Linked DNA regions of Notamacropus eugenii. The protein of the gene in region 2 purifies or fractionates together with the protein of the main gene of each other region. This does not show direct contact. Links are inferred from orthologs where the notes say so. Each region holds a gene or a part of one and is shown on either strand. Other genes may lie near its edges.

Region 1 (10,736 bases), about 220 Mb from region 2:
TGATGCTGGGAATGCTCACCTTTCTAACCTCCAGCTATTTAGAATCCTGAGCTTCCTGCAGGACTCAGCTCCAACATCCCATAGCTTCGAATGCCTTCCTCTCAAAGGTTGCCTTTCATCTACTCTCTGTGTATTTTATACTTACCTATTAATATATGCAGTTGTCTCCACTGTTAGAACAGAAACTCCATGCCAGCAGGGACTATTTTTTTTCTTTATATCCCCGATGACCAGCCTAGCTAGGCTAATAATAACTGATTAGTAAAAAGCTTGTTGATCAGTTGTTTCTTAACATTTTTCTGCTTTACATTACTTGAAGGGAAAATACTTTAAAACATCATTTTGGTTTGTCATTTTCCACATACTAAAGTACCTGAAAATTTCAGGAAATAAGTATCACTAATGCAGATGGCTGTGGATTTGTTGGTTGTTTGGGGGTTTTCTGCTTTGTTTTGTTTTTTAGGGGGAGGAATCCAGCCCTGTGATTTCATTAGCACATGGAAACCTCCTCCATCCATGTAGACAGTCAGATCATCTGTCATGTGTAGTCTTCAGGAATGGCTGGGGCAAGGGAAGCTTAAGTAGTTTGCCCAAAGTCTGAATACTGTGTTTCAGAAACAAAACTTGAACCCAGGTCTTTTGATGCCAGGGATACCCCCGATACAGTACTCTACTCTTTTCTTTCTTTTTGTAGTCTGCTTATATAAAGTCTCCTTTCTCTTTTTTATGTTTAGTTTTTTCCTAGCTTAGTCTACTTCCTCCTCATCTGGAAGGGGCAGTCTGTGAACTATTAAGTGCCTGCTATGTGCCAAGCAAAGAGAAAGACAAAAAAACAGACTTTGCCCTCAAGGATTCCCCAGTCCTATGGGGGAGATAAGGAGCAAACAGTTGTGAGCAAACTACAGGATAAGTTGGAGATAATGTCCGAGGGAAGGCACTAAGATTTAAGAAGGATTGGGAAAACCTTTTTGCCAAAGATGAGACTTTAACTGAAACTTGAAAGAAGCTCAGAGTTGGAGACTTGGGGAGAGAGTTCCAGACGTGGGGGACAGCCAGTGAAAACATTCTCAGTTAAGAGATGGGGTGTCATGAGGAACCACAAGGAGGATGTTGTCACTTGATGACACAGTGGCCTGAAAGCAGGAAGATCTGAGTTTAAACTAGCCCTAGATACTTACTAGCTCTGTGACCCTGAGCTAGTCACTTAATCCCTGGTGCCTCAGTTTCCTCAACTGTAAAATGGTGATAATAGTAGCACCTGCTTTTCAGGGGTTATTGTGAGAATCAAATGATATATTAGTAAAGCACTTAGCATGGTGCCCAGCACATAGTATGAGCTATGTAAATGCATTTTCCCTTCCCCTTCCCACCCCCAGAATGGGCATGATTGAGGTTTGAGAAGATTGGAATGTAGGAAAGGAAGGGACCAAGCTTGGGGAAATGGCCTCCTTCTCTAGTGGTTTGTTTGGCTATCCACCCCTCTTCTGGGCTTACTGGGATCAGTACTGGAGGCTGATTTTCCCTTTTGTTTTTAGACCCTCCCTGCACATGCTAGATTCTTTCATGAAGTATTGATTTTAAAGACCATTTTGCTGATGTGTGAGATCCACTTTGTTCTTTACTTGTCATTGAGTTAGTGGTAGTCATGTCTCTGAGACTTTAAAACCAGAGAGTAAATATTTTATAGTAAATGGAGTAAGAGATCCTGCAGAATTCAAACAGTGTCATATGAGTCTGAGTCATCTGAAATCGTTAAACCCAAGGACCTCTTCCAAGAAAACCCTGCCTTTAAAAAAAAAGGTTTTAGTCCTTTATAACAGTATTACTCCCTACCCCTTGTAATTTTTGAGCATTTACAAGACTATTTAAAATCAAGATGAGCTGCTTTTTAGGAGATTAAGAGAACTTCTAAGATGCTTTTCAAGTACATTTCAAGTAATAACATTGTTTAGAAGTGAAATAGCAGAAAACTGGATGTCCAGAAGCCTGGGTTCTGCCGATCATTGGCATTGTCTACAAAGTGACTTGAATGCAGCAGGGCACATTGCTATGCACCTAGGAGGGTGTGCATACAACACTCAATGTTTTTGCCTCAAAAAATGAATTTGTTGGATGTTGAGAATCAAAGGGTATTCTCAAATGAAAGAGGTTTAACTCTTTTTCACACTACATACAGTATTTTCAGTAATCTAGAAATTTTCTACTGACCATTTTGAAAGCCTCTAGGCTGATCTCTAAGTAGATTTCTTCTAGACGATATTAATAATAGCTAACATTTATATAGTGCTTTGCAACAACAAGCCTTTATTATTTTTAAATATTTTAATTTTTTTCCAGTTTACATGTAAAAAAAATTTTAACTTTAGTTTTTAAAATTTTTGAGTTCCAAATTATCCTTCTCCTTTTCCTCCTCCCTCATTTAGGAGGCAAGCCGTTTGCTATAGGTTATGCACATGCAGTCATGCAAAACTTTTCCATATTAGTTATCTTACAACAAGCATTTAACTAAGCACCCTGTGTCAGATCCTGGTAAGGCTTTAAATTTTTTGAAGCCCTTTACATTTGTTATCTCATTTGTTCCATGCCAGCTACCTTATAGGGGTAGAATCCTCATTGTACAGAAGAGAAAACTGAGAATAACAGGATTTAAGTGACATGTCCAGGATCACACAGCTTGTCCTAGGCTGGATTTTAACCCAGGTCTTCCTGACTCCCAAGGCCCAGAATCCACTGCACCACCTAACTGCAACAACCCTAATTCAAAATAAAGAGTATATCAAGTCATTTTAGTTTTGTTTTCCTTTTTTCTTCTTTTGATCTAAACAGTCCAGAAAAGTTTTCAAATATATTCTAGTAGGCTAGAATTTCTGCTGGAATCAATAGGTGCTCCCAGTAAATATCAATACAGGTCTGTCTCATTTTCCACAATAGATCCATGTTCCTGAAAAAGATATATAAAAATAAAATAATAATACATTCACTGGGGGACATTGCCATTTAAAAGGATTTTATTTTTAGTTACAGATTAGCACATAATCACCATGCTAGTTGAATGGGTTTGGGTTTTGTAGAAAATATAGCTTTTTATATTTTATTTGCTTTAAGTTTCAGCACTATAAACTATTCCTAAAATTTATTTTAATTTTAGAATTTTATTTTTTATTCTTAATTTAATGCATGCTAAGTAAAATGAGCATTTCCATAGCACAAAACCATAAGCATTATGTACAGCTAGTTTTTCTTTTAAAATATATAAATTTAGTATGTAACTGTCAAAGCTGTTTTGCTTTTCTGTAATTATTTTTCTAGGCTTATGGTCTCTTCTGTGTAATTTTTAAAAAATGTTGAAGTGCCCTTTTTCCTTTTTCTTTTTTGGAAGCTGCCTTCTTCCTTCCTTCCTTTGTATTCCCCCCCATAAAAAAAGATGAAACAAATGAAACCCTTTTAATAAGTATGCGTAATCAAGCAAAACAAATTCCCATATTGACCATGTTTGAAAATGTATCTCCTATTCCAAATAGAGTCCATCACATCTCTGGAAGGAGATGGGAAGCTTGCATCATTGGTTCCCTGGAAATGTGGTTGTTGCATTGATCAGAGGAAACTGATTAATTTTAATTTCCTCTCTTCCTTCCCCTGTAGGTTCAGGGCATTAATGCTAGTCAGAAATGAAATAGCCAATGTTTGACAAAGTTAGTCAGTGTAAAGGACACATCATTTGTGGATTGGAAAAATTATATCTCCATAATTGAGTTGGACTATATCCATAGTCACATACAAAGATCCAACCCAGAAATCTTTATGATGGGAGGTTCAGTGTTCAGGCAACAAAGATAGGTAGCTAGTGTCAGAATTATTTGTGTCTGGATAAGAGAAAATAGGGGAAAGATTATTAAAAACTTCCTGGAGATTTGGTCTGTTTTGGGTGTTTATTTTAAACTTCCATCTTTCTGTGTCTTTTGACTCTAGACAGATGCTTTTGGCAGTCTTTAGGACTGTATTTTGTTTTTATTTTGTGTGGGTTTCCATTAGATTATTGATTTTCATAACACCAGGGGAGAGTTTCAAGTGACTAGCCTTGTTGTACAGCTACAGAGAACCAAAATAGAGTCAGAAATGAGATGAGGGGTTAGGGAAAATGTATGGAGAAAATGCTGGATTTAAATTGGGGAAGACAAATCCAGGTGTAGATCCCACTTAAAGTAATAGGTGTAGAATCCTGGGCAAATCACTTACCCTCTCTTTGTCCTGGTTTCTTTATCTGTAAAACGGGAGTGTTTAAAAAAAGTACCTAAGTCACAAGGTTACTGTGAGGGTCAAGTGACATAATTATATACTTAGGTTATATGACATAACATATATTGTGTTATGTAACATATAGTAGTTTTTTTTATTCCTTGGAGATTGGTCTATATTCTCATTTGATTTGCTCAAAAGTTTTAAAATAAAAATGAATCTGATAAATGAAGCAGTCACTGTTTCAGGATGTTAAGGAAAAGACTGTCAAATCTGTCTTTAATATTCATTTAAAGTCTTGATGTAGAAACTATTGTTTTTGATGTTCGGCTATAGATTGTTGAATGACAACCAAGTAGAAGGGTTCTTGAACTCTTAAAAAATAAATACAAATTCATTTCAAGGTCACTGATGGTGCAGGACTGCAAGTATGTGGCAAAGTATGAGCTGAATTCCAATCTCCCTAATCTATTTGGTCCCACAACATACTTGCAAGTCAGTTACCTAAATTTACTAGAAGTAGAAATAATAATAACAGCTAATATTTATATATTCTAGGCACTGTGCTAAGCACTCTGCAATTTTTATATCATTTGGTCAATCGTGGGAGGTAGGTGTTATTGTTATCCCCATTTTACAGATGAGGAAGCTGAAACAGAGGTTAATTAGCTTGCTCAGGCTCACAGCTGGTGAGAGGTCCAATTTGAACTCAGATCTCGCTGACTCCAGAACCAGTACTCCATCCGCTGTGCTTGCTGCTAGTGGGATATAATTAAGTAGCTTTTGGAACTCAATGAGCAATGTATACAGGTAGAAACAATCATTTTCCAATAGGACAATAACCGCCAGTAACCATTGGGCCATTTGGGGGAGGGGAAGAAATTACCTTATTTGGAAATGCTTAGGTCCTAATTACTTCTTATGGATCCCACAACTATTTGAGGAGTTCACTTAGTACAAAATTCTTTGGTTGACCAAAGAGTAACATGCCTACCTCTTCTTACTTATAGAATTATCATAAGTAATAATAATACACTGTCCTCTAGAGAGAATGATAATTCTGACTCACCCATTAGTGGAGCACATGATAGCGTTTTTACAGTAGCTAGAGTATATTGCCCTGTCCTGTAACTAATGTCACAGGTTTACGGTATAAGAGGAATGATATAGTGGGTTTCCCCTAGGCTAGGTTGACCACTCATCATGAATGTTGTATATTAGGGTATCTTAACCTTTCGAGTGTGTCATTGATCCCTTCTCATGTTTATTATTTGTGTGTTCATTATTTGTTTATTATTTGTGTGTTTAAAAACCACACAAAATGAAGTACATTGGGGGTTACCAAGGAAACTAGTTACATTAAAATAGTCATCAAAATATTTTTCAAAAAGTTTCCCAGACCCTGGGTTAAGACCAGAAGGAATTCTTTTTCAGTCATGTGTTTTGGCTGCTCTGAGATTCCAGCCCTCTGTTTCTGATCTAGTACTTTTTTTCCCTTTGAATTACACCAATTTTTTTCTCTGTAAAGTTGTTTTTTTAACTGACAAAAATTAAATTTGAGGTCTTAATTCACTTAAGCACTTAACACATGAGTTCAAGGGGTGCTGTGAAAGAAACTGTGGCCTTCTCTAAAAACAGCCGCATTTGACTATCATCTGGCTACCGAGAACAAATGTTTTGACTGGTTTTTTTTTGTAATTACTGCTCCTGGTACATAGACACACAGCCTCAGTAAGTAAAATGTGTGTAGACTGTTGGATTATTGAGACATCAAAAAACCTTAAAGAGATTACAAATAAGTATTCTGCTTTTCTGAATGGAATGGTGCATTGTGAAAGCAGCCGGGTATGATTAAACTTCCTAAATCCTTGATAATTCTCAGAATAGCATGCTGAAACAATGAGAACCGTGTCAGAATGTTCTCTAAGACTTATAAGAGATGGCATCACACCATGACTTTGAATTTTGAGAATCAATGAATCCTTTTTATTCCTTTTTCCTACACCACTGAATATTTAATATAGAAAATAAAAGCAATTACCCAGAATTTCCTGTAGCTGTCAGCCTTATTTTTTAATCCTTGGCAGATTGCAACCCCTTTGTGATTCTATACCTTATGAATCCTTGTCCATATAATTAGTCCTCCATTGAAGGTTTACTTATAGAATAAGAAGAAAGTCTTCTTATGCTATAAATCCAAAAAATTCATTATCCTTAGGATCTGTCATTTGTCTCATTTTATGTAATCTCTCCCCCACTTTTTTATCTTGTCATACATTTCCTCATTAATGACTTTTAGACCATATTGCAATCTTCTACTACCTACCATGTGTTCTATTGAATAATTAGGTGAATGAAAGTAAAAACATTTATTTAGGGCTAACTGTTCCAGGCAGTTCTAAAAATGCTGTACATACAAATAAAAAAAGAGTCCCTGCCTTCAAAAAGCTTAGATTCTAATAAGAGAATGTTCTTATACTTACGTCATAATAAGAGAACATGCTTTCTTGTAGTTGTTTTATGGGAATGGTGGCCAGAGAAGGGTATTTTGGGCTGAGAATATATGGAGTAAATCCGTAGGGCAATTGATTGGTCTGTCCTTTCCAACTAATTTAATTACTGTTCCTAAAGCTAGAGGTGAAAGGAGATGTGGGGAAAGGGACACTGAGAAGGCGTACTCACCAGTCAGCATGCAGGGTTCCAGGATGGGAGCTGGAGAACCAGGGCAGGGACAGGAGATATTGCATGAAGAAGGTCTGAAAGCAGCAGCAAGGTATGTCAGGGGCAGGCTAGTTAGGGAGAATGCTCTCCCCAATCTGAGTGCAGGGGCTCAGGGAGGGATACTGGACAGCTGTCTTTTGCTCTTTACCTTATTTGCTATTTTAATTCCTGTCCTATCTAACAGTTGAAGCCATATTGTATTGTTTAGTGAACATTTTATTAACCGTGGTCTTTTACAGCAGTGAAAAGTTTGAGATTGTTGAAAGCGTTGCAGTTTCCCAAGTAAGATATGGACTGGTCTCTATGTTTTTCATCAACTTTGGCCTGTTCCATCACCCTGGAAAACTGATGTTTCACTTCAGTGATGTGGATATTAACTGTTGGTGCTGAGTACAACCTATCCATATTCATTCAGCTAAGTGAATAGGCCTTTAAAAAAAAAGTATTTAGATACTGCATCTTGGGATAGCATAGAGATACTATTCACAGATGAATACTGTGCTCTTTCTGTGGCTTTATTTGTGCTAGAACTGGAACCATGGAGTTTAATGGTGATAGGCACCTTACTGTTCATTGCATTCAAGTGAATATTCTAGTAATGAGTTCTTGAAACTTGACTTTGTGGAGGTATGAAGGGAATAGGCAGATATGTTTCTTCCTGACATCCTCAATTCTGCCTCTGTGCTGGTCAGCATTTATCAGTGATTCAGGTGAAGCCATAAGGATAGTCCTGCACAGTGGATAGAGAACCCACCCCAGAAGTAGGAAAGGCCTATGTTCAGGATCTGCCTCTGATACAGTATTGGCTGTGTGACCCTTGGTTGGTCACTTAACATCTCTGTGCTTTGGGTAACTCCCTAAGGTTCTTGGAGTACAGAGAAGATGTCAGTCTTGCTTTGGTAGAGACAGTTTCCTCATTTGGGTTATTCTCTCTATCAGTGAAACCCCAAGTCCAGCACCTGCCTTCATCTATAGAAAGTGTGCTTATCAGATTTGCAGGTGATATTCAGCTGGGATATAGCTAACACATCAGAGGAGAATTGGGATTCAACAAGTTCTCATTAGGATGAACTAATAGACCTGATCTAATTACAGAAAATTAATGTAGACACATGTAAAGTTGAGACAGGCAAGGACCCAGATGACTTGGAGGTCATTTTATACAATCTCTCTTCATGAGGATTATTGAAAGGACGTGGGAACAATTAGCTTGGAGAGTTTAGGTGACTGAAGCTTTGAAAGCCCTTCATGTAGAAGAGGGATTAGAGTCCTTTCACTTTGCTCTAGAGGTCAGGCCAAAGCAGATTTCAGCCTCATGCTGAGCAGTTTCACCCTGGAAGGACAGACTTCTCAGCAGTTCCAAGCTGTCCACAAATGGTCTTGACATCATCATCATCCGAATCATTAACATTTATGTAGAGTTTTACATATATCGAGATGATGCCATATAAATAGAGCTTTGGGGTTTACAACGTGATTTACAAATATTATTTTATCCTCACAAGGCTGGGAAGTAGATGCTATTGTCCCCATTTTATAGAGGAGGAAATTGTGGCAGACATAGAGGGTCACTCAGCCAGTGTCTGAAGCCGTATTTGAGCTCAGATCTTTCTGACTTCAGGTCCTGCACCATCTAGCTGCCTCCCCATAAAAATAATGCTTTATTAAGGAACTGGGAATGTTTAGCCTAGAAAAGAGAAGATTGAGGGCTCATGGGATAAGCATGTTCAGGGATCTAAAGGACTGTTTTGTGGAGGAGAGATATACATCTCTTAGCTCCAAAGAGCAAAAAATAGGAACAAAGGGTAAAAACTCACAAGGCACCTTTAGGCTTGATGCAAAGAAAAATTGCATGGCAATGAAAGCTTTCCTACAGCAGAATGGACTTCCTTAGAATGTGGTGGGTTTTCCCTCATTGGAGATCTTCAGACAGTAGTAGCTGGAGAGACCACTTGTTGGGTATGTTGTAAAGGATGTATTTTTTTAGGACTTGATGACCATAGACTTCCTTTTAAAATCTGTGATTCTGGTTTCATATCAGATTTATCCCAGAACATGAAGTATTTTCTTGGAAGAGGTTACTGGTAGAAGTTTTTAGAAGTTGTAACTTTTTGTGGTCACCAGAGTTCTGTTAACTGAATTAGTATCTTCATGTTAATGGCCTGAAAGAATTAAGGGTATATCTCCAAATCCCTTCATGTCTTCCAAAACAGAAGCCAACATTCTGGGTAAACCTGGCTCAGTAAAATTGTATGTTTTAAATTGTTCATGTCAATAATAATCTTTCATATTTATAAAGTACTTTAAGGTTTGCAAAGAGTTCTTGCTTACAGAGGTGCTGGCAGGCAGACCTACAGGACAAGTCTTATTTAGGCCCATTTTCCATATGAGGAAACTGAGGTTCTGCAGAATTAAGTGTCTTGCCCATTATCACACATTGCCATTGTAAGTGTCTCAGGTGGAAATTGAACTTGGATTTCCTAACTCTGGGTTCTCCCTGTGCTCCCCCTGTGGTGTTTGGATGGCATCATCACTTCGGGGAAACTGCAGTAGAATCCTCTTGTTACCCCTGAAGCACTTGCAGTGGAAGGTGGGCTCAGTGTTGTTCACTGTAGAAGGACTTGTTATTAGGATGTAGTCCTATCTCCTAGGGCTGTCAGACTGTTCAGATGAGTACAAAAAGTTATCTAAATAACAACTGCTGCTGCTATTATTGTTATTATCTGTCTCACAGCCAGAGAGGCTTATTTACCACGGTCGTCCGTAGTGTGGACGCTCCACCAAGTGCTGTGGGGAAGTTGCTGGGAGATACGTTGGAACTATCCACCACTTGCTGGTAGATCTCTCAGTGTGAGTGTGATTGTAACAGAAGCATCTGACAGCTGTGCAGACTGAATGGAGGTGTGTGCTCCAAGTGAAAGAGGCCATGGGATCCTGGATTTGGAGCAGAGTAATACGGGACCTGAGGGATCACTTAGTTCAACTCCCTTTTTTACAGATGAGGAATTGAGGCTCAGGAGAGAGTAAGCAGCTGGCCCAGAGCAAATCAGGCAGTTAGCATTTATTAAGCACCTACTGTGTGCCAGTGCTGTGCCACACACCATACTAAGCTCTATGGATAGACACAGAGAAAGGCAAAAAATAGAGAAAGGCTCCTGCTCTGAAGGGGCAGGTCTGATGAGGGAGACCACATGCATTGAGACAGGATAAATCAGAGATGCTCAGCTGAGGGTAGGCACTAGCCTGAAATAAGAGAAGGGTTTCTGGTAGAAGGTAGGATCATAGCTGGGACCTGAGGGGACCTGGAAGGCAATGGTGAGGAGGGAGAGCATTCCAGGCATGTGGGACAGCCAGAGAAAATGCCTGAAGCCAAGAGAAGGGAGTGTTGGGCTAGGAACACAAAGGCCAGCATCACTAGATCTCCGAGTAAATGAGATTAGTAAAGTGTTAAGACTGGCAAGGTCGGAAGGCTCCAGGTTGTGAAGAACTTTGAACACTAAATAAACAGAGGGTTTTATATGTGATACTAGAGATAATAGGGAACCATTGAAGTTTGATGAATGGGAGAGTGACATTCTCACATAATAGCCAGGAGTCTGAGACAGAATTTAAACCAAAGTCTTACCAACTCCCAGGTCCAGGACTCTAGGCACATTTGGCCATGCTAACTGTAAACTCTTCCTTTGCTATAGAAACTCCTCTACCCTTTTTTTCAGCATGCTTCCACAGTAATATAGTTAATGGAGTTGGAGGGTAAGCATTTAAATTCCTTAGATTAA
Region 2 (10,001 bases):
CCCTCCCCAAGAAGGCACGCAATATTATAAGGGCTATACACATACATTCTATTAAACACATTTTCACATTAGTCATGTTGCATAGAAAAATTAAAATGAATGGGAGAAAGCATGAGTAAAACTAAACAAACCCTAACATCACGAAAGAGAAAACAGTCTGCTTCATTCTGCATTTTGCCTCGAGTCCTTTGGGAATGTTTTAGGTCCTTGCCTTGCTGTGAAGGCCCAGGCTGTCAGAAGCAGTCCTCACATACTGCAGCTGCTGCGTATAATGTTCTCCTGGTACTACCCACTTAACACCAGTGCACATCAGTCTCTCCAGGCTCTCTTCTGCATAAGGTCTTTTCTGAATTCTCTCCACCTGCTAATGTTCTGCCTCCCAAACTTGCTGTGCGTGTGTGCGTGGAGATATAACTATATTTATGTGTTTATATTTTATGTGTACTTATCTCCCTTTTTAGATAATATAAGCTAATTGAAAAAAGAGATGATTTCATTCTTTGTACTTCGACCCCCACTACCTAAGATGGTGCTGGGCACATAGTAGGTACTTGAAATTTTTTGGTTGGTTAATTTTAAAAGATTTAGTCACGGAAAGGATATTCAGATGTGGTTTTAAAAAACTTTAAATGTACACTGTTCCTGTGGCATTGACCTCATGAAATTTTTGTAGGATTCTAATTAGCCACTATCTAGCCCAAATATTTCAGAGTTATTTGTGATTTTCTGATTTCTTTGTACATGCTGATGATTCTTAACTTTTTTAGGTGTTTCTCCTCCTATGATGATCTGAATTTAAAAAGAAGAACCTCATTTCCCCTTATCAGATCTAAATCTCTTCAGTTAACTGGCAGAGAAGGTAGGCTGTGTGTGTGTGTGTGTGTGTGTGTGTGTGTGTGAAAAAATAGTTTTATATATATTACTGATATGTTTAAGAATCTACTATTTCTAAAGCAGAAAGATCATTAGACATAAAATTAGTTTCTAATTATGATGTATCACTGTCACATCATATTTCATAGCTTAATTATCTTCTCTGACTTTGTCCTGTAAATCCAGAGATTGAGTCAGGAGTTTACTGGCTCACCAGCAGATGTCATCTTTTAGCAGCTTCTAACACATACTTCTTTTGTAGATAGGCAGGTTTAAAATTTCAATAAATGTCATTTTCTTTTTTCCCCCCCAATTCAAATAGTATTTTATTTTTTCCAGTTACTTATAAAGAGTATAAAGAACAAAGTGTACCTAGCCAGGAGCCGAGGTTCTTAGGTTCTAATTGTGGCTTCCATTTAACTAGTCAGGTGATGTTGGCCAACCTATTTAACCTACTGAAACTTCTTTTTCCTCATCTGTAAATTTATTGGTCAGCATCTTATTGGTCCCTTCCAATCCAAAAGTCTATTATCTGTGATATAAATCTGGACGAGTTCTGTACCTTTTTATTGCTTCTTTTCCTGTCCTTCTCAAGGTTATATAAAAATATTAATTGATTATAGTCATGTTATAAATCAGTCCTCCTCGTATGTGCGCATAGCCTAGGTAATTATTAAACTAAATCAATACTTGCCAGACCTTAAAATATAATTTCTTTTGGGGGAAAATATATGAGGATGGACTTTTATGCTGTATCTTCTCTGTTTAATATTTGTGGTTGTTTTTAATAAGGCTTAAGTACTAATTTAGCAAATGCCTACTTTTTAAAATAAGTAGACCAGCTGTTTTTTTTTTCCTTCAGCTTCCAGAACAAAGAGTCAAAAGGGATTTCAGTAAGTCAGGAGAGTCTACTGGGCATTCTTCAGACTGAGAAACAACAGGGCAAAAGTCAGTCATAGGGTAGAATTTTACTTTTCTATTTGTATTTAAACACATATAACAGGATATATAATTAAGTTATGGGATAATCCCTTGTTTTGTGTATTTTAGGCTTTTTTTCTGAGGGTCACATTAGGTACCTTAAGGATGTGAAAGCCTTCCTGCTTGCCCACCTGAACTTAGAAATTGACCTTTTTTGCCATAATTCCAGAAGCAAGTGGAAAAAAATGATATTTATTCACCTTTATAGTGACATCTGTGGCAAATGATAATACTTATAAATTGAAAGATTATGTTTACAGCAAAAGTTGTGTCTGCTTTTTAGACATGATGTGGTTGAAATGGGAATGATAAACTTTCTAAAAAGTTTACATTATTCTGGAACCATTGGATGGAGATTATAATGGTATGGGCCCATCTTGCAATAATGACTTCTATCTCAGAAATATTTAAGCAGGGTAGGGAGGTGGCATAAGGTATAAAGAGTTGGGATTGGAGTCAAGATCTGAGTTTGAATCTTGCCTGTGAGACCCGGCCTAGACAGATCACTTCGATTTGCCTCAGTTTCCTTATCGGTACCATAGAGATAATATTAGCTCCTGCTTCCAAGAGTTGTTGTGAAGTTAAGATGAAATAATATTTATAAAGCACTTTGTAAACTTTGAAGTATTAGCATTAGTTTTATGGTAATTATTGTTGTTACTGTCAAGCAGGGACTAGATAGCCTGACAGGGATGTTGGAGGGGATTCCTAAATGATAAACTTTTCTAAGGAAACTTGCCAGGTCACAGCTAATGAGCAGTGTCTCTGACTCTGAGGAAACCTAAGTGCTTCCTGGTGTCATAGTACGGGTGCGCATTGAGCCACAGATTTCGAAATCGACTGAATTGGAAGCCTTATTTGAAGTTTTTCTTTAGCTCTTTTGTGTGCATGCATGTGTTTGTGTGTGTGTGTTAACAATTTTATGTTATTACAAATAATTTTTTTTTAAACTGTTATGAGCACAAGCAGTGAATTAGATTGCTAAAGATCTTACTAGGTCAAGGCTAAAAACCTTCCTACAATTGTTGTGCAAGATTAGTGACTAATTGCATCTTTGTTAGCTCTCATTTTTATATCTGCTCTTTTTCTCCTTGTAGTAGACCCAGATGATTTATACATCGTAGAACCACTGAAGTTCTCACCAGAAAAAAAGGTAATTTTGCATTTATGGAATACATTTAGTGTATTATGAGTTGGGAGATAAGAAATAGATTCGTATGGTCTTAGATATAAAAATAAGCCAGTTCAATACTACCCATCCCCTCACAAAAATGTGAAATGGAATCTTGTTTTATAGATGATAGACTATGAGAATTAATGTTATTAGTGTGGTTACCCAATCATTATTAATGACAGTTATTTAGCCAGAGATAGCAACTTGTTTAAAATCTGTTATTTTTAAAAGATTAGTGTTATACAAAGTTATACAAAGTTATACATGGTTAACAGTTTATATGCATTCTTGCTTTTCAAATCATTAAACATTTATTAAGTGCCTACTGTGTGCCAGGCACCAGAAGATGGCACTTATCCCACAGTGATTCAGTTCTTCCAGATAAACAACTACCTAATTTTTGAAATTCTAATGCCAGTTTTCTTTTGTGTGTATGTGTTGTAGAAGAAACGCTGCAAATATAAAACTGAAAAAATTGAGACTGTTAAGCCAGCTGACACATCGCATCCTATAGCCAATGGAGACATTAAAGGAAGGAAACCCTTTACGAACCAGAGAGATTTCTCTAATATGGGAGAGGTTTATCACTCTTCTTACAAGGGTCCTCCATCTGAAGGAAGCTCAGAGACCTCCTCACAGTCAGAAGAATCCTATTTCTGTGGCATTTCAGCTTGCACAAGTTTGTGTAATGGACAGACCCAAAAAACAAAAACTGAAAAGAGGGCTTTAAAACGAAGGCGATCTAGAGTTCAAGACCAAGGAAAGTTGATAAAAACACTCATTCAGACTAAGTCAGGTTCAATGCCGAGCCTGCACGACCTCATCAAAGGAAACAAGGAGATCACAGTGGGAACATTTGGTGTCACAGCAGTATCGGGACACATTTAAAACTAGCAGAATTTTTCATACTGGAGACTTTTGTTGTTCTCTGAAGAAGTCTGTGGTATTTGAAGGGGCTGGGGTGGGGGGGCGGGTTAGGGAGGCATTAAAAACTTACGGGAAAAGGATTCAGAAATGATGATTTCTGCCTTTTTAAGTAGATGGGATTGTGTCAATCTTGGTTAACGAGCTGCAGTTTTACAAGGCTAATCACTTCCTACCTGGACAACGGGAGGCATTTTATAAAGATGTTTTTTTCACAGGTTAATTACTGGGGCAAAGGTAATTTGGAAACCCAGTTCCTTGGCTAGAATAGGAATGAAAGCCTAATGCTCTTCCTTCAGCTTTGTTCCTGTTTCTTGCACCTTCCCATATTGATGTGCCTTGTGTCTATTTATAACGCCACTGGAAGATGAGAGAGAAAGAGAAACTTGTTTCTGTCCTCTGATTTCTTTGGTAACGTAAGCTCTTGTGAAGCTGTATACACTACATTGCTCTACAAGGGGCCTGTGCCTGAAGCTCAGCTTGTACATGTGTGTTTGAGCAGTGAAGACCAGATGAGATCTGCCTGGAAGATCTCTGTGTAGCAAACTCACCAAGGAATATGAAAGACTTGCAGGGCCAGAAAGCCTGTTCTCTGAGGGGGGTCGTGATGCTGTTAATGGTGTCTTCATTTACTTGATTTAGAATGAATTCCTTTATCCTTGGAAACTGAATGATATAAGCTTAAAGTGGACCACCTAGGACTTTGCAGATGACCATTATTCCCAAACTAATTCTTTATAGATTTACCTTAAGGATATTTAACTACCATTATGGGTACTCATTGGCTACATTTGAATTCTGACTGTTCACAATGAACACAAATCCTTTGAAACATGCAAAATTTGGTGAAATTGATTTGGCAAAGGAAAAAAAAGCAACTTGTGACCAGGAATAGCGTAAAATGATATTATCTTTGCAGAGTCCAAATGTAAACAGGCATGCCAGGGAGTTTGCCGATCCTTGTCTGAATGGTCAAGATTGAATGAATTATTCCATAATGTGTTTGCTTTAGTATTGGCTACAAATGTGCAGGGTGGGATGTTTGGATGTGTGTGTTTTTTGTCTGTTTTTGTACTTTTCTTTTTTAATTTTGGCAGCAGTTGTATACTTGGATTACACTTATTCCATAGGGGGTGTGAATGTGCAATGGTGAGTGAAGTTGGAGAAAGCATTTTCTTTTTCTTTTTTGTGTTGAGAGGTCTAACAGCATCACGTTCCTTGTAAGGCTGTTTTAACTTATTAAGCACTTTTAGTAGTATCCTTTTTTAAAACAGATCTGATGCCTTTTCTGGGTATTGTATGTAATGTGACTTATTTAAGGCCTTTAAATTTTTTTTTGCTGCTTTCATGTTAGTTTACCAGTACGTTCTGAGAGATGTAATTTTTGTTGGTCAGTCTGTACATTTAGCCATTCACAGCAAGAGGGCCTGAGTTTTATAATAATTACAGTGAATTGAGGTCCAAATTAGAATGAGGTAAGGATGGGAAAATATCATCTGAGTGCAGCATTCAACATTGTGGAAAGAAGATTTATGTAACTACAGAGCTGTAGTGCCATTAGAAACTGTGAATTTCCAAATAAATCTGAACACTTGTCTTTATTAATTTAATGTCTTTAATTTTTTTTTTAAGTTAAACACTCCCAACATTCATTCTACTAACTATTTATATGGATTGTATATAAATGCTTGGTACTAATTTGACTTAATAATTTCAGGTTTTCTATTATTAAGCTAACTTTCTGATTTTCTTTGATCCTTATGTAGTTCTTCTTTCTATACTGGCTTCTCTAGGGACATTTTAAACTCTACATATTTAAGGAGACAATAACTTTATTTAATTCTTAGATATGCTTTTTTTCTGTTATGTTAAATTTTTGGTTACGTGAGTTGAAAGATATTACTTGTTACCAAACATTTAAAATGTGAGAACAACAGAAGAAATTCCAGTAGTATATTATTTGAGTTATAAATCAACACACTCAAGTTTTCCTCTTTCTATGCTTGGTATTTCACTGCTCATAGGACTAGTAAAAGTCAGTGTTATCAATCTACTAGAAAGCCCTATGGGGAACTGGAAAGAGCACTGGCTCAAACAGAGTCAGAGGTCCTTACTTCACATCTAGCTTCCATCGCCATGTGACCTTCAACAGGTCACAGCCTCCCTGAACTTCAGTTCCTTTATAAAATGAAATTGACTTTGATGAATGTCTTCTGAGGACTCTTCTAGTTCTGAATTTATAATTCTGTTAGACTCTCAGAAGTCACTAATGATAAATCACTATTTTGCTTTTTGAAAGTCTATGTGGTTGAATTAGTTGTAAAGATTTAGCTGTACAGTTTTAACAAGTCAGCGCTAATGGCCCTAATAATTTTGGTGACTTTATGTTTCCCTAGTGACACAATCAGGTCATTTACAGGTAAGTGCACCTTGGGACTGGAGCTGAATACCAAACTAAATACCAAATACTGACAATGTTATTTAATTGCAGGTTCGTTTCTTGCCACAGCGAGGCACATGCACATTTAAGGATGCTGGGTTTTTACTTGTAATAGCAAGTCTTTGGGAGTTGCACCTTTTTAAAGGTTCATGCGAACAACCTGGTAGTTTTTTATAATTTCCTAAAGTACTCTGATATTGTTCAATAAAGTGTCAAGTAATCCCTATGGTATTTGAGGATTACAGAATGATTAAACAGCATGTACTGTTTCTTCTATTTTTTTTTTCTTACACTATATAAAGCAACTATACTTGCAGTTCTCAATAGATTAAGGAGATGGAGAATTCAAGAACCAGGACATTATAGGAATTCTAAAGAAATAAATTCTCAGTAATCTTATACTACATTCTCTTCCAGTAGGAAAGTGTGAGTATATTCGTACATCGATATATACATTCATAATACTTCTTAGATAGCATGATCCATTAACCATTAATGGGGGATAGCCTTTGAGGAGTCAATGTTTTACAGCATTTACATAAAACAGAAGAATTGTTCTTTCTTAAGGCCTTGAAGCGTAACTGAAAAAAGAGAAACTTAAAGATTCTGCTACTGTGGTCACCTGCCCACCCCTGCTTTAAACAAAATTAGTGGGAGAAACAGCCACCATCAATACCAAACACTAAGCTCCTTCTACAGAACTTTGAAAATATATCTAAAGTCAGTAGGAGGAGGGCTTGAGGGGTTTGATGACTTCTGCTTGGCTACAGGGAAATTTACTGAGAGAAGAAAAACAACTATCACTCATACTTACTTGTTTAGGGTTATTATTTAAGGAGAATGAGGCAGGAAAGAATAGGACCTCAGAGTTGAAAGACATATCATCAACTGTCTGTCCTTTCTCTATCAAGATATCTACCAAAAATCCCTCCAAACGATACTGGATAAGTGCCCATTTAGCTTTTGTTTGAAGACCTCCCATGAGGGAGAACCCACTTTTTCCCCAGAATGCCTTTTTCACTTTTGGATAACTTTTTAATGTAAACATTAATTTTCAAATTAAAAAGAATTTTTTTTTTTTAAGAAATTCTTACCTATATTTGCCTCCTTGAAGCTTGCCCTTTAGGACCAAACAAAGTAGGTCTAATCTCAGACAGTTATTCTGTTCCTCATTGACAGTTCAGGTTAAACATCTCCAGTTCCATCCATGATTCTCATATGACATAAACTTAAAACCCTTATACTGTTTTTCTTCCCCTGGTGCTTCACAATATTTACTAAAATGCAACACGCACAACTGAACTCTATATTAAGGCAGAAGATGGTAGGACTTTCACCTCTTAATTCTAGGAAGAGCCATGCCTTTCTCTAGATGCAATTTAATTTTACCTTTTGGTTGCCATGTTCCACTGTTGACTTATTGAATGTTCAGTCCACTGAAATACTTAGATCTTCAAACAAGTTTGCTGTCTGACCATCCACCTTGGCCCCCACCCTAATCTTGTTCCTAGGAACTCTCTCTCTCTCTCTCTCTCTCTCTCTCTCTCTCTCTCTCTCTCTCTCTCTCTCTCCCTCCCCCTCCCTCTCTCCCTCCCCCTCCCTCTCTCTCTCTCTCCCTCTTCCTCTCTCTCTCTCTCTCTCTCTCTCTCCCCCTCCCTCTCTCTCTCTCTCCCCCTCCCTCTCTCTCTCTCTCCCTCTTCCTCTCTCTCTCTCCATACACACACACACACACACACATACATATGTATGTATATATGTATATATGTATATACATATGGCATTGCATTTATATTCCTATTAAATTTCATTTACTATATTCAGCTCAGTATTCTAGCTTGTATACTTTCTTTTGAACCCTAACTTATTATCCAGTGTTAGTGAAACTTTAAGCTTTGTTTTTTGTATCTCTAAGCTTTTTTACTTTAAGCTTTGTATCATTTAATAAAGACCCCTTGTATGCCTTTATCCAAGTTATTGATAAAAATGTAAGTGTGCATGACCCTCTATCCTTAACAGAGGACTATGCACAAATCCCAGAGTCACTCCAATGGAAATCTTCCAAGTTAGTATCAAACTATTAGTGAGTACTCTTTAGGTTGTGCCATTTAATCAGTTCTTAATCCATCAAGTTGTACCTTCATTAAACCACATCTTTCCATTTTCTCCCGCCTCTCCTCCTCCTCCACAAAAATAGCTTGATAGACTTTTTCAAATATTTTATTAAAATCTAGGTAAACCTTATCAACAGCAGCACCTTGCTTTATTAATCTAGACTCCAAGAAATCTATTTTAAAAAATAAACTAAGTTTGGCACAATCCTTCTTGAGGAAGCTATGCTGGCCTTTTGTCATCCTTATCTAAATGTTCACTATCAGTGCGTTCCAGAGTTTTGTCAGAAATGTAGAAGTCAAGTTCTTTGGCTACAGTATGCAGGTTCCCATTTCCTTCCCTTTCTCAACAATTTGGACATTTGCCCTTGCCCCATCTCCTATTGTGCCATATTTTGCAGGTGTCACTGACCCTAGTCAACAGTTAGATATCAGTTTTTAGTCTTAGTCATTTGGAATAGGTGATTTGAACTCATAAAGGGCAACAACATTATCTCTTTCTTTCTCCACCCTTGGCTTTGATTTCAACTTCCTATTAGCATTTTTGTTCTGTGCCTTCCAGTCAGTTCAAGTAGATGCTTTGGCTCTTCTTTGATTCTCAGTTTTTCCTTATTATGACTGAGAATGACAATAACAAACCCTTTTTGCTGACCTTAGTTATCTATCAGCCTTAGCTCATTTTGACCTTTATTGAAAGATCAGAATTTCCAAGTTGGAAAGGACTTAAGCAATCAACACATCCAATCCCCACTACAATTTACATGGTTTGGTCATTCATCTTTGGCTTAAAGATTTCTCTTGAGGGGAAACCTTCAGCATCTCAAGATAGCCCCTTCCATTTTTTGAGCTTCTCTCATTGTTAGGAAGATATTCTTGCCATCCTAAATTTTTTCCCTTTGCAACTTCTACCCATTCATTGATCCTTATTTGGTCCTCTTGGGCCAAAGGGAACAAATCCTTCCTCATGATGGCCCTTCAATCACAGTTACTATGTTCACATTAGTCTTCTCTTTTAGTAGTTCAGTGCAGCCTATGGACCTCATATCAGCATCTTTTTAAATGCATAAATAAAATATGTAATATTATTAAGGAATTACATATTGAAGTAGATTTAACAGGTTTTGTGTTTTAAGTTCACAAACCCCAGGTCAAGAAACTGTTCTAGACATTACCAAGTTTATCAGTGTCCTGCCCAGAACAGCATAACACTCCAAATGTCTGATAAAAGGAGAATCACTTCCATATTCCAGGAAGCAGTGACGATCTTTCAATATCAAAATGCTGACCCTTTGAATGCACCAAAAGCACCAGCACTTTTTCAAAGTTTCATCCAACTCTCCCTACGAGATATCTTGTATTCGTGAAGTTGAGTTTTTTGAACTCTGGTTTATCTACATTTATCCCTGTTAAATTGCATCTTACTAGATTCAGCCTAATGATCTAGCCTGTCATGTCTTTTTGGATCCTTATTGTTATCTGTGTCAGGGGTGGGGAACCTGCA
Region 3 (10,413 bases), on a different chromosome or scaffold from region 2:
GTGAGTGGGAGCTCACTCGACAATCCAGACAGCTTGCTCAGTGGCTGGAGTTCCAGAGCTGAGTGAATTAAGTCCCTCAGGACCTTGGGTAGTTAGTTTTGTTTTGGTAGATCCTGTCTAGATGCAGTGTGGAGAGGTGATAAGATGGCAGGTAGATGACAAGATGACTTTGTTGGACAGTGGGATGTGATAGAAATCCTGGTCTGGGCTGGAGACCTGGGGTTATTTAGATAAAGGAGGCTATTTCTGAGAATCCAGAGATCCCACGGAAGGATGTAACCCTTTTTGTCAGAGATAGAAAGATAGTTCCCATATATACCAAGTATTTATTATGTCACTTTTTTTTGTGTTGGCAAAAAACTACAAAAAGGTGGAAAACATTCTAAACAAACCATGGTCTATGAAAATAATAGAATATTTCTGAATTCAGAGAGTCATGGGAAGAGTTGTAGGAAGGTATTCCAGACTGGATTCAGTAAGCAAAACCAGGCAAAGAGTATACACCCAATGATGACCAGGATGGAAATGAAAAGTATATGAATGAACTTGAACACTGTGTAACCCTGATCAGCCTTGGCTGAGGAATAGAGATGAGGCAATGTATCTATCCCGTTTACCTGGAGAGGTGGTAGAGGTGGGTGTGGCTGTAGCAGCTGCTGCCAGATGTGGCCACTGTGTCAGCCTGACTTTTTCTTTGGTACTAGAGAAGGCTCCCTGGAATCATAGGCATCAATAAAACTTAAAAATAAGAGTTTACATTTTTAATTAAAAATTAATTTAAAAGAATTAATTGAAAGAATTAATTTTAAAAGAAAAATATTATTTTTAAAGTAAGAGAAAGAGGAGGGGGAGGGAGAGAGAGAGAGAGAGGAATTTCTGGCTTCCCTGAAGGCCTTAGCTTATGGGACACCTCCTACTAGCCTCTCCTGGTCTTTCACTTTGCCACTTTGTTCTCCTCTCCTCAGATAATCATGTATCTATGTCTCTCTTTATATGTTGTATCTCCATAGAGTAGAATGTCCCTCAGGCAGAGGCTACTTTTCTTTGTGTCTGTATCCCTAGGCCCAACACAGTACCTTCACATTATAGACAATAAATACTTCTTGGATTTGATTGGAATTCAGGTTAGTAAAGATCCCACTGCTAGTGAATGCAGAGTTAGCATGAGAAGCTAAGTCTCCTGGCATCCAATCCACAACCCTTTGTACAACACTGAACACATACTTTCTAACTCTTATAATGGAGAACCAGGAGAAAAATGTAATAATGAAATGTAAAAAAACCGAAAAATTTTGAAAGACTTGAGAACTCTGACCAACATAATCATGATTCCTGAGGATGGATGATGAAGAAGAATGCTACCCACTTCCTGCCAGAATGGTGATCGACTCAAGATGCAGAACAAGACACACATTTTTGGACACAGCCAATATGGGAATTTGTCTTACATGACTGTTCATGTTTGTTATATGGGGGGTTTTCTTTTCCTTCTTTTTTTATTTCAGTAGGTGAAGGTGGCAGGAGAGATTCAAGAAATCCTTGTTAATTGAAAAAAATAAAATTTAATTAAAAAGATAACTGCTGGTGGGTGATAGATTTTGAGAGGAGGTAGAGCTCATTCAACCCATTCCTTGCCCTACAAAAAAACCCCATAATGGTGTCACAAAGTCAGACACAACTGAAACGACTGAACAATAAAAAAAAAACACCTAACTCATACAGGGGCAAATGATTTTATGTCCATTCCTGAGTATGACATCAACTGGTGGCCTCCCCTTTCTTGTTAGCATTCATGGTGGACACCATCTTGATTTTTCAAGTACTTCTTGTATAGGTGAGTAACTACAAGCAGTCAGAGGAAGCCCATGTTGGTGGAGGAAGGGTTACTGATTGTCTCACCTGCCGATGCAGACTCCTACAACTTCAACTCAAATATTTATTAAATAATGTGTGTAGAGCATGGTACCAGCTAGTGGGGGAGATCCGAGGTTTAGAGAAGACAGAACCTGCCCTCAGAGCTTTGGGTCTCAAGGGAAGATAGCAAGAATACAAAACATCAACTGTGTAAGAAAGATGTGAACTGACTGCTTTTCAAAGGTTAAGCTATGGTTGAAGTCATTATTGACTGAAAGGATTGAGGAAATCTTCATGAACCAAGTGATATTTGAGGCAGTCTTAAAGGAAAGGTAGGATTTTAACACATGGAGATGGGAGATAGAGGGAAAATGGTCACTATTTCATTGATAGGGACCAGACCTGCTCCAGATAAGATGGCAGTACCATAGGCAGTCAGAAGTAATGTAAGATTACATATAACTTGGAGTTGGTAGTAATCTTGTAGGGTATCTAGTCCAACTCTCATTTTATGCATGAAGAAACTAAAACTTGAGGGGACACAATGTCTAGCATGGCACAATGGGTAGCATGCCAGGAAGACTTATCCTTGTGAGTTCAAACTTGGCTTCAGACACTTACTAGCTGTGTCACCCTGGGCACGTCACTTAACCCTGTTTGCCTCTGTTTCCTCATCTGTAAAATGGCAAACCACTCCAGTATCTTTGCCAAGAAAACACCAAAAAGGGGTCATGAAGAGTCAGATATGACTGAAAAATGACTGAACAACAACAAAAAACAACTTGAGAATTTAAATTCTATGTCCAGGGTCTCACAAATAGGGTCACAGATGTAGAGCTGGGAAGGTGCTCTTATTTGATAGATGGGGAAACTGAGGCCCCGAGGGTTTAAATGATTTTTCCAAGGTCTTACTGGTAGTGAGTGGCAGAATGGCAATTTAACCTAGGCCCTTTCCTTTCAAATCCTGCATTCTCCACCAGGCCACACTACTTCCTGAAGCAGGAAGAAGTAAGCAGGAAAAGTAAGGGGAAGGGACAAATTGTGGAGGCCTTTCTATGGAGTCTGGCAACAAGGAGCTCCTGCAGGTCCCTAGGGTGGGGAAGGATGTGAGCTGATCTACACCAAAGGCAGTTTGATCTGCTAAATGTACAAAGAATGGATTCGGGGTAGCTATGTGGTGCAGTGGGTACAGCACTGGCCCTGGAGTCAGGAGGATCTGAGTTCAAATTTGGCTTACTGTGTGAGTCACTTAACCCTGATTACCTCCAAAAAAAAAAAAAGCATTCAAATTGGGTGAGTGGAGAGGGAGGGAGAGACCTGTGAGGATGCAGTCCAGGCAGGTGGTGATACTATCAGGTGGTATCTACTGTGAAGTTGCTATGGGAATGTTAAGTAAGGGACAGATTTGGAAGATTCCATAACACTACACTGATGCCCCTTTGGGCTGAAGCAAGAGATGTCTGTTGAATTTTACTGATGATGTACTTGCTCCAAACTATGAAAACTGTAGCTGTCCGGGACTCCCCGTGTGTGTTATCTCACCAAACTGAAACTCTTGTGGCAGAGGTTCTCCAAGGCTTTCTCCAATCTGTGCCCACCTTATCTTTTCATCGTTCTATCTGACTACCCTTCTATCTATAGCTAACATTGAGGAGCTGGAGGCTGGGCCTCCTGAGGGTACTCCCTCCAGTCTTCTTTCATGCTGTGTTGACCAAGAACATTGTGTCCTCCCCATCCCACAAAGTGTTTCAGATGGAAGGGCCCTTAGGGAACATTTTGGTCCTCAGATCTAGCCTAATCCTTCATGTTACAGAAGACTGAACATCTGAAAGATTAGATAGATGACTTGTCCTCGACCCAGTTTTAAGAAGCAGCAGAGCCAAGATCTGGCCCTGGGCCTTGCTCCAAAGCCCCGAGCAGGTCCACCATCCTATGGAGTTTCCTCCCACTGTCCTGACCTTTTCTGAAATCCAAGTATAGTCCTAACTAATGGAGACTTGAACTACCTTTGTGCAGCTCCTTTGCCAAACCAGATTGAGGGTTCCCTGAGGCAAGGGAGATATTTGCTCCTCCTGGGTTTCTCACCTAGCTCTACACACAGATGATAGTCAATAAAGGCTTGTTGATTGATTGGTTAATAGGTCATCACCAGTCCAAACTGAATAACTTGCAGAACCATGATTGAAATACCAAGTTTTTTCCATAACCCTAACAAATCAATTCAGCAAACATTCAACATCTGCTACATCCAAGAAATTGGCTGTGCTAGGTGGCTGGGGATAGAAAGGCAAAAAATAATTCAGCTTAACATGTAGAGGATTCAAGACATTCTGGAGTTTACTTTGCACAGAAAGAAAATAACAGGTACACAGATAATCAATCTGTAAGCAAATCTTTATTAAGTGTCTACTAAGAACAAAGCAATTTCTGGAGGAAGAAGGAGTTGTCACTATTTTTATTTAATGTAATAATACATGGAAAGTTCACAGGATTTGAAGTCAGAGGACCTGAGTTCAGATTGTGCCCCTGTCACTTGCTACATTGTGACCTTGTCACAATTATGTCACAACCTCAATGGGGTCTCAGTTTCCTTAACTATAAAATGAGGGGTTTGGACCAGATTGCTTCTAAGGTCTCTTCCAGGTCTAAGTTTACGATTCTGAAGGGCTGCTCCAAGCATGGCACCTCCTCTCCACCCTTACTCAGTAAACTCCAGTGGCTCCCAAACATCTCCAAGATCAAATAGAAAATCCTCTGGCATTTAAAGCCTTTCCTAGCCTGGTCCTTCCTCCACCTCTCCAATCTTCTTATACTTACCCCACTCCATATATTTTGTGACACTGGCCTCTGGGTATTTCCTCAGCCATTACATTTCCTCTCTGGGCTCTAGGCATTCTCACTGGCTCTTCCCAATGTCTGGAAGTCTAGCCCTCCTCCTCTCTGCTCTCCAGGGTCCCTGGCTTCCTTGAGGTCTCATCCCAAGTCCCACTTTCTGCACAGAGCCTTGCCTGGCTGGCCTTCGCCTTGCCTTCCCTCTGTTGATTATTTCTTATTTATCCTGACTATTGTTTTGGCACATAGTTGTTTGCATGTGAGATCCCTGAGAACAGGGACAGTCTTTTGCCTTTCTTTGTATCCCCAGGACTTAGCACAGGGCCTGGCACATAGTAGGTGAGCAATAACGTTTGTTGACTGACATAAATAGATACAGAGAAGCCCGGATTTGGGCTGAGAGGAGTTATATACTTGCCAACTGAGCAATCTTAGTCAAGTAACTAAGACATTTTTCTTATCTGTAAAGGGAGGATTGGAGTGGGTGACTTCTTAAATCTATGGCCTTGTGGTATAGTATAGTTCAGTGGCCAGAGACCCCAGTCTTGGAGTTGGAGTTTTTGGGTTCAAATCCTGACTAACGATTATTATCTTGGACAACTCATTTAAAGGGAGGGAGATGGCCTAGAGGTCATCTTCCAGGTCTAAGTCTGTGCCTTTATATGACATAAAAGGAGTACTGGATTTGGACTGAGAAGCCATGGATAGAAATCCTAACCATTCCCTGTGTGGTTGTGATGAAGTCATCAAGCTTCTTAATTCCTCCAACTGTAAAATGAAAGGGTTGGAGTAGATAGCCTGACAGATCTAAACGCTGGCAGCGTGGTTCAGAGGCCATCGAAATCCCACCCGTGGGACTCTGGGCAAGTCACTTTGCCAGCGAATAACATAGTGCTAGGCACTCAGCAAGTACTTAAATGCTTGTTGCCGCTTTTTGTTCACCTCTTTGGGTCTCGGTTTCCTTATTTGTAAAATACAGAAGTTGGACTCGCTGGGTACTGGGGACCTTTTCAGCTTACTTTGATTCCATTACAGACACCTATAATGCAGTTTCTTTCCTCTCTGCCATCATTCCCCTGTCCTCCATCCCCTCCTCTGGAAAGCCAGGAGGCAGTGGCTACCCCGACTCCCACCCCCACGGCCCTCTCCTCTGAGGCTGCCTCTAGAGGGCGCCCGGGAGGCCGATTTGGCTGCCCTCGGTTTGCCTGCTCCCGACGCTTCGCTCCCGAGCTTAGCAAACTTTCCGAGTTTCTCCTCCTCTTGCGTCATGGAAAAGGTTGGAGGGTGATCGGGAGAGTAGGAGGCGAGAAGCCGTGCGAACTCCCCTGACCTACCGGCCCAGACCCAGGACCGGTGTGGGTGTGTGGGCTACTACTCTGCGAGAGCCTGGGAAGACCGGACTGGGCATATCGGCCTAGGGAGCCCAGGCAGACGGACACCTCCTCCACGCCGGCAGCGCCGACCCGCCGGGGCTCGAGCTGCCTGCTGCCCTCCCGAGGCGTTTGCAGCTGCTCTAAGTTGCGCCGAGGAAGGGATCGGCTTCCCGCGGGGCAACCGGGGCCAGGGCTCCGGCCCCTTTTTCGCCACTCCCAGACCGTCGAACCCCAGCTCCTGTTTCTCCCTCCACCACTTAGTATCCTTCCCGGAGCGGGTCCCCGAGTCCTCGGCCTCGGCGAGGGAGAGAGTGCGGGCGTGCTTGGGGGTGTTTGCGGGTGGGCGGCTACAAGATGGAGTGAAGGGAGCCCCAGTGCCGGCCGCGCGCCCAGAGGGTTGCGAGCGCAGGTGGGCAGCTGAGTTGGGGCCACCCTGCTCCCCCGGCGCTGCGCCGGGGACTGCCTCCCTCCCTCTCCTTGCCATCCCTCAGTCCAAACGGAAGTGCCTCTGTTTTTGCTGAACTCCTCTGGCGGCTTTCTCTCCTCTGCCCTCCCTGCGAGTCTCCCTCCCTTCATCCATCCTTCTCTCCCTCCCTTCCTCTCCAATCATCCCTCCCCCTCTGGACACAAGAACCCGGAATTGCATTTTTTTAAAGCTAGCTTCTTGTAGTCGTTGCAAAGTGGATTGTTGGGGTGCCTCTCATTCCTGGGAAAAGGTTTGCCGATCACTGCCCAGCAGGGACTCGGAGAGGAGCCGACAGAATCACACCTCGTTCCCAACTCTTCTGCCTTTTTTTGAGAAATACCACTCTGTGTGTGTCTGCGTGTTTGTGAGTGTGGAATTTGCGTTTTGTTCCCCTCCGAGCGGATTTGGCGGAGAGTCCTTGTGCCCACTGTTGTTGGTGGTGGGTGAGTTGGTTGGTGTTTTAATGATTGATTTTATCCGGGACTTTCCTCTGAGTACTTTGGTCTGGCTCCCAAGTTCCTGGCTCTTTGCGTCGAGTCAGTTTCAGGCGGGTGGAAACTGACCAAGAATTAAGCAAACAAAAGATTCCAAAAGAATCCAGCTGAGGGGTTCCTCCAGTACCTTTTTGATTCCTCCCAGCCTCCCTCCGAAGGCAGGGAGGAGGTGTTTTTTTTTTTGGTGGGGGTAGTGGTGTGTGGAGAGGGAGGACAAGTGTTCAAGCCAAGGGTTCAGGGACCCAAAGGAACTTCCCCAAGACCCTCCTTTTTCTCTGGATCCAGGTTTGCTGCATGGTCTGTTTTGATCTGAAAGTTCACGTGAATTTTCCCGAGGTCTTGTGTAAGCCTTGGATTGTTGTTGTGTTTTTTTTTCCTCCGGATCTTGTTGGGAAGCCGGAGGGAGGCGTCCACTCTTGGATTTATTTCAGCCTTGTTAGGTTTTCCTTTTACCCCTCTTGGGCTTTTTGGAATTTTTTTAAGCCCAATTCCTAAGACGAGGAAAGGAAGAAAGAAAGCAAAAAATGCTTAAGATACTCCCCACTAGAAAACCAACCATTGAGTAGCTTTTGGAGGGAGTTAACTGTTAGTTACTTTTCATTTTAAACTATTTTTTTTCTTGGGGCACTGTTCTCACTTAAAGTACATTCTTTGCCTTCTTGGCCCTTGTTTTACAGTGCTGGTATCTAGGTGTGATTTTTTTTTTCCCTTTTGGGAGGCTTAGGGTGGAAAGAGATGTAAAATTGCAGCCCAGAACAGGCTGTGGGAAAACAGGAGGCCAGATGGAGACTGTGAGATGAGTACCTAAGAGGTGATGGTATCCTGGCAGGACCTCCTTCTCTGGCCTGTGTTGTCACCTAGGACCAAACCAGAGTCGTATGGGAGCAGACTGTTTGATCCCCTCTCTGGGCTATGTCACTTTCCACCAAGGGAGTGAGAACTGTGTGGAATGCAAGGGCCACACTCGAACTTCTGGCCTGTGTTGAGAGTAAAGGCACAAGCTTGTGGATCCTTGGTGACTGTGTGTGTGTGTTTCTGGATGTGCATGTCAGAAGGCCCTGTCCCTACTTAAGTTTACTTGGGGTCTGAGCTGCACCCTCTTCCCTTTTGCCTTTCCCTTAGACTTTCCTTCCCTATCAAAAAACCCAACCCCAGCCATGGCATTGAAAGGCCGAGCACTTTATGACTTCCAGAGTGAAAACAAAGAGGAGATCAGCATCCAGCAAGATGAAGAGCTGGTGGTCTTCAGTGAGACCTCCTTGGATGGATGGCTGCAGGGGAAGAACAGCCGGGGGGAGACTGGACTCTTCCCTGCCTCCTATGTGGAGATCGTCCGATGTCGTTCTGACTCCAACTATACAGATTATTCAAACAGTCCAGCTAGCTCTCCCAGCAATGAGACTTCTTTCTACGTTGCCCCTGTGGTCAACACGGGCGTCATGTCTCACCAGGGCAGCTTTGAAGATGATGATGAAGACTGGGATGATTGGGATGATGGGGGCACCGTGGTGGAGGAACCACGGGGTGTTGGGCTGGGTACCAATGGGCACCCCCCTCTCAACTTGTCCTATCCTGGTGCCTACCCCAACCAACATATTAGTTTCCGGCCCAAGCCACCCCTAGAGCGCCAGGACAGCACTGCCTCTGGCAAGCGGGGTAGTGTGGTTGGGCGCAATCTGAACCGCTTCTCCTGCTTTGTCCGCTCAGGCGTGGAGGCCTTCATCCTGGGTGACGTTCCCATGATGGCCAAGATTGCTGAGGCCTACTACATTGAAATGGGTCCCAAAGGTCCTCAGTGGAAGGCCAGCCCCCACCCCTTTGCTTGTTCCGTGGAAGACCCCACCAAACAGACCAAGTTCAAGGGCATCAAAAGCTACATCTCCTATAAACTCACACCCAGCCACGTGGGCTCGCCCGTCTATAGGCGCTACAAGCACTTTGACTGGCTCTACAACCGGCTGCTACACAAGTTCACGGTGATCTCGGTGCCTCACCTGCCTGAGAAGCAGGCCACAGGCCGTTTTGAAGAGGACTTTATTGAGAAGCGCAAGCGCAGGCTGATCCTCTGGATGGATCACATGACTAGCCATCCTGTGCTATCCCAGTATGAGGGCTTCCAGCACTTCCTGAGCTGCCTGGATGACAAGCAGTGGAAGATGGGCAAGCGGCGGGCGGAGAAGGATGAGATGGTGGGGGCCAGCTTCCTCCTGACTTTCCAGATCCCCACTGAGCACCAGGACCTCCAGGATGTGGAGGATCGAGTGGATGCCTTCAAGGCCTTCAGCAAGAAGATGGACGACAGTGTGCTGCAGCTCACCAACGTGGCCTCGGAGCTTGTGCGCAAGCACATCGGTGGCTTCCGCAAGGAGTTCCAGAAGCTGGGCAATGCCTTCCAGGCCATCAGCTACTCCTTCCAGCTGGACCCCCCCTACAGCTCGGATGCCCTCAACAATGCCATCTCCCACACGGGCAAGACCTACGAGACTGTGGGCGAGATGTTTGCTGAGCAGCCCAGGAATGACCTCTTCCAGATGCTAGACCGCCTTTCCCTGTACCAGGGCTTGCTCTCCAACTTTCCTGACATCATCCACCTGCAGAAAGGTAAGACCTAGGCTGGGGCTAGCCCCAAGGGGCTCAGGGAAGGACGGAGGGCAGGGGAGCCCCTTTGCCTTTTTAATAACAATGCCCCACATCTTCCAGCTGGCCAAAACTCTTTTCTTTTCAAGACTTCTGTTTGATAGCTTCATATCATTCTTGCAGCACCCCTGTGGGATAAAGGATCATTATCCCCATTTGACAAAAAAGGAAACTGAGGTCTAGAGAGATAAATGACAAAAGTTATACAACTAGTCAGGAGCAGAGCCAAGACTAGGACCCAAGGCTCCTAACTCGCCCCCAGGCTTCTTTCCATTACCCTCCTTCTGCCCCTTTTGTATTTTCTATGGGGATGCCAGTCCATAATGAACCCCTGGGGTTAGAAACACTGGCTGCCTATTTTTGGAACTAAAAGGGAAACTTAAAGATCATTTGATCCTCATTTTATGGATGAGGGAAACTGAGGCCTAGAGAGCATTAAGTGACTTGCTCTAACTACTAAATAACAGAGTAGGATTTGAACCCAGATATTCTGCTACATCAAAATGCTTTAAAAAAATAAACAACCAACAACAAACCATTCTTTTTACCAGGGTCTGTTCCCAGGAAATAAGTGAAGGTGTAGACAAGGAACAGACAGGAAGTGATTCACTCCAGGTTACATTGTGGAGCCCAGGGTGAGTCAGGGAAGGAGACTAGGAGTCCCGGCTCTCACCTGGGAGCTCTTTGTATCCTGTGATCATCCAGCCTCCTCCTTTCCTCTTGTCTTTCTTCTCTTGACCCTTTACCTCTACCTTGT

Evidence for each region.
Region 1: the proteins of FASLG (region 2) and SNX9 purify together in Homo sapiens (co-immunoprecipitation; 3 studies listed by BioGRID and IntAct, with this or other methods). This does not show direct contact. The link is inferred for Notamacropus eugenii from reciprocal best matches to the Homo sapiens genes FASLG and SNX9.
Region 3: the proteins of FASLG (region 2) and SNX33 purify together in Homo sapiens (co-immunoprecipitation; 3 studies listed by BioGRID and IntAct, counting the BioPlex papers as one, with this or other methods). This does not show direct contact. The link is inferred for Notamacropus eugenii from reciprocal best matches to the Homo sapiens genes FASLG and SNX33.

What each region holds. Positions count from the first base shown.
Region 1 is NC_092873.1:251,467,792-251,478,527, forward strand, and holds the start of SNX9 (sorting nexin-9), read left to right. Parts: upstream 1-6,761; 5' UTR 6,762-6,926; coding exon 6,927-7,009; intron 7,010-10,736. UniProt on the Homo sapiens protein: Involved in endocytosis and intracellular vesicle trafficking, both during interphase and at the end of mitosis. Required for efficient progress through mitosis and cytokinesis. Required for normal formation of the cleavage furrow at the end of mitosis.
Region 2 is NC_092873.1:473,684,148-473,694,148, reverse strand, and holds the start of FASLG (tumor necrosis factor ligand superfamily member 6), read left to right. Parts: upstream 1-5,685; 5' UTR 5,686-10,001. Other genes in the region: SUCO (SUN domain-containing ossification factor), read left to right, coding at 768-859, 2,952-3,007, 3,473-3,916. UniProt on the Homo sapiens protein: Cytokine that binds to TNFRSF6/FAS, a receptor that transduces the apoptotic signal into cells. Involved in cytotoxic T-cell-mediated apoptosis, natural killer cell-mediated apoptosis and in T-cell development.
Region 3 is NC_092872.1:240,221,276-240,231,688, reverse strand, and holds the start of SNX33 (sorting nexin-33), read left to right. Parts: upstream 1-5,925; 5' UTR 5,926-8,176; coding exon 8,177-9,620; intron 9,621-10,413. UniProt on the Homo sapiens protein: Plays a role in the reorganization of the cytoskeleton, endocytosis and cellular vesicle trafficking via its interactions with membranes, WASL, DNM1 and DNM2. Acts both during interphase and at the end of mitotic cell divisions.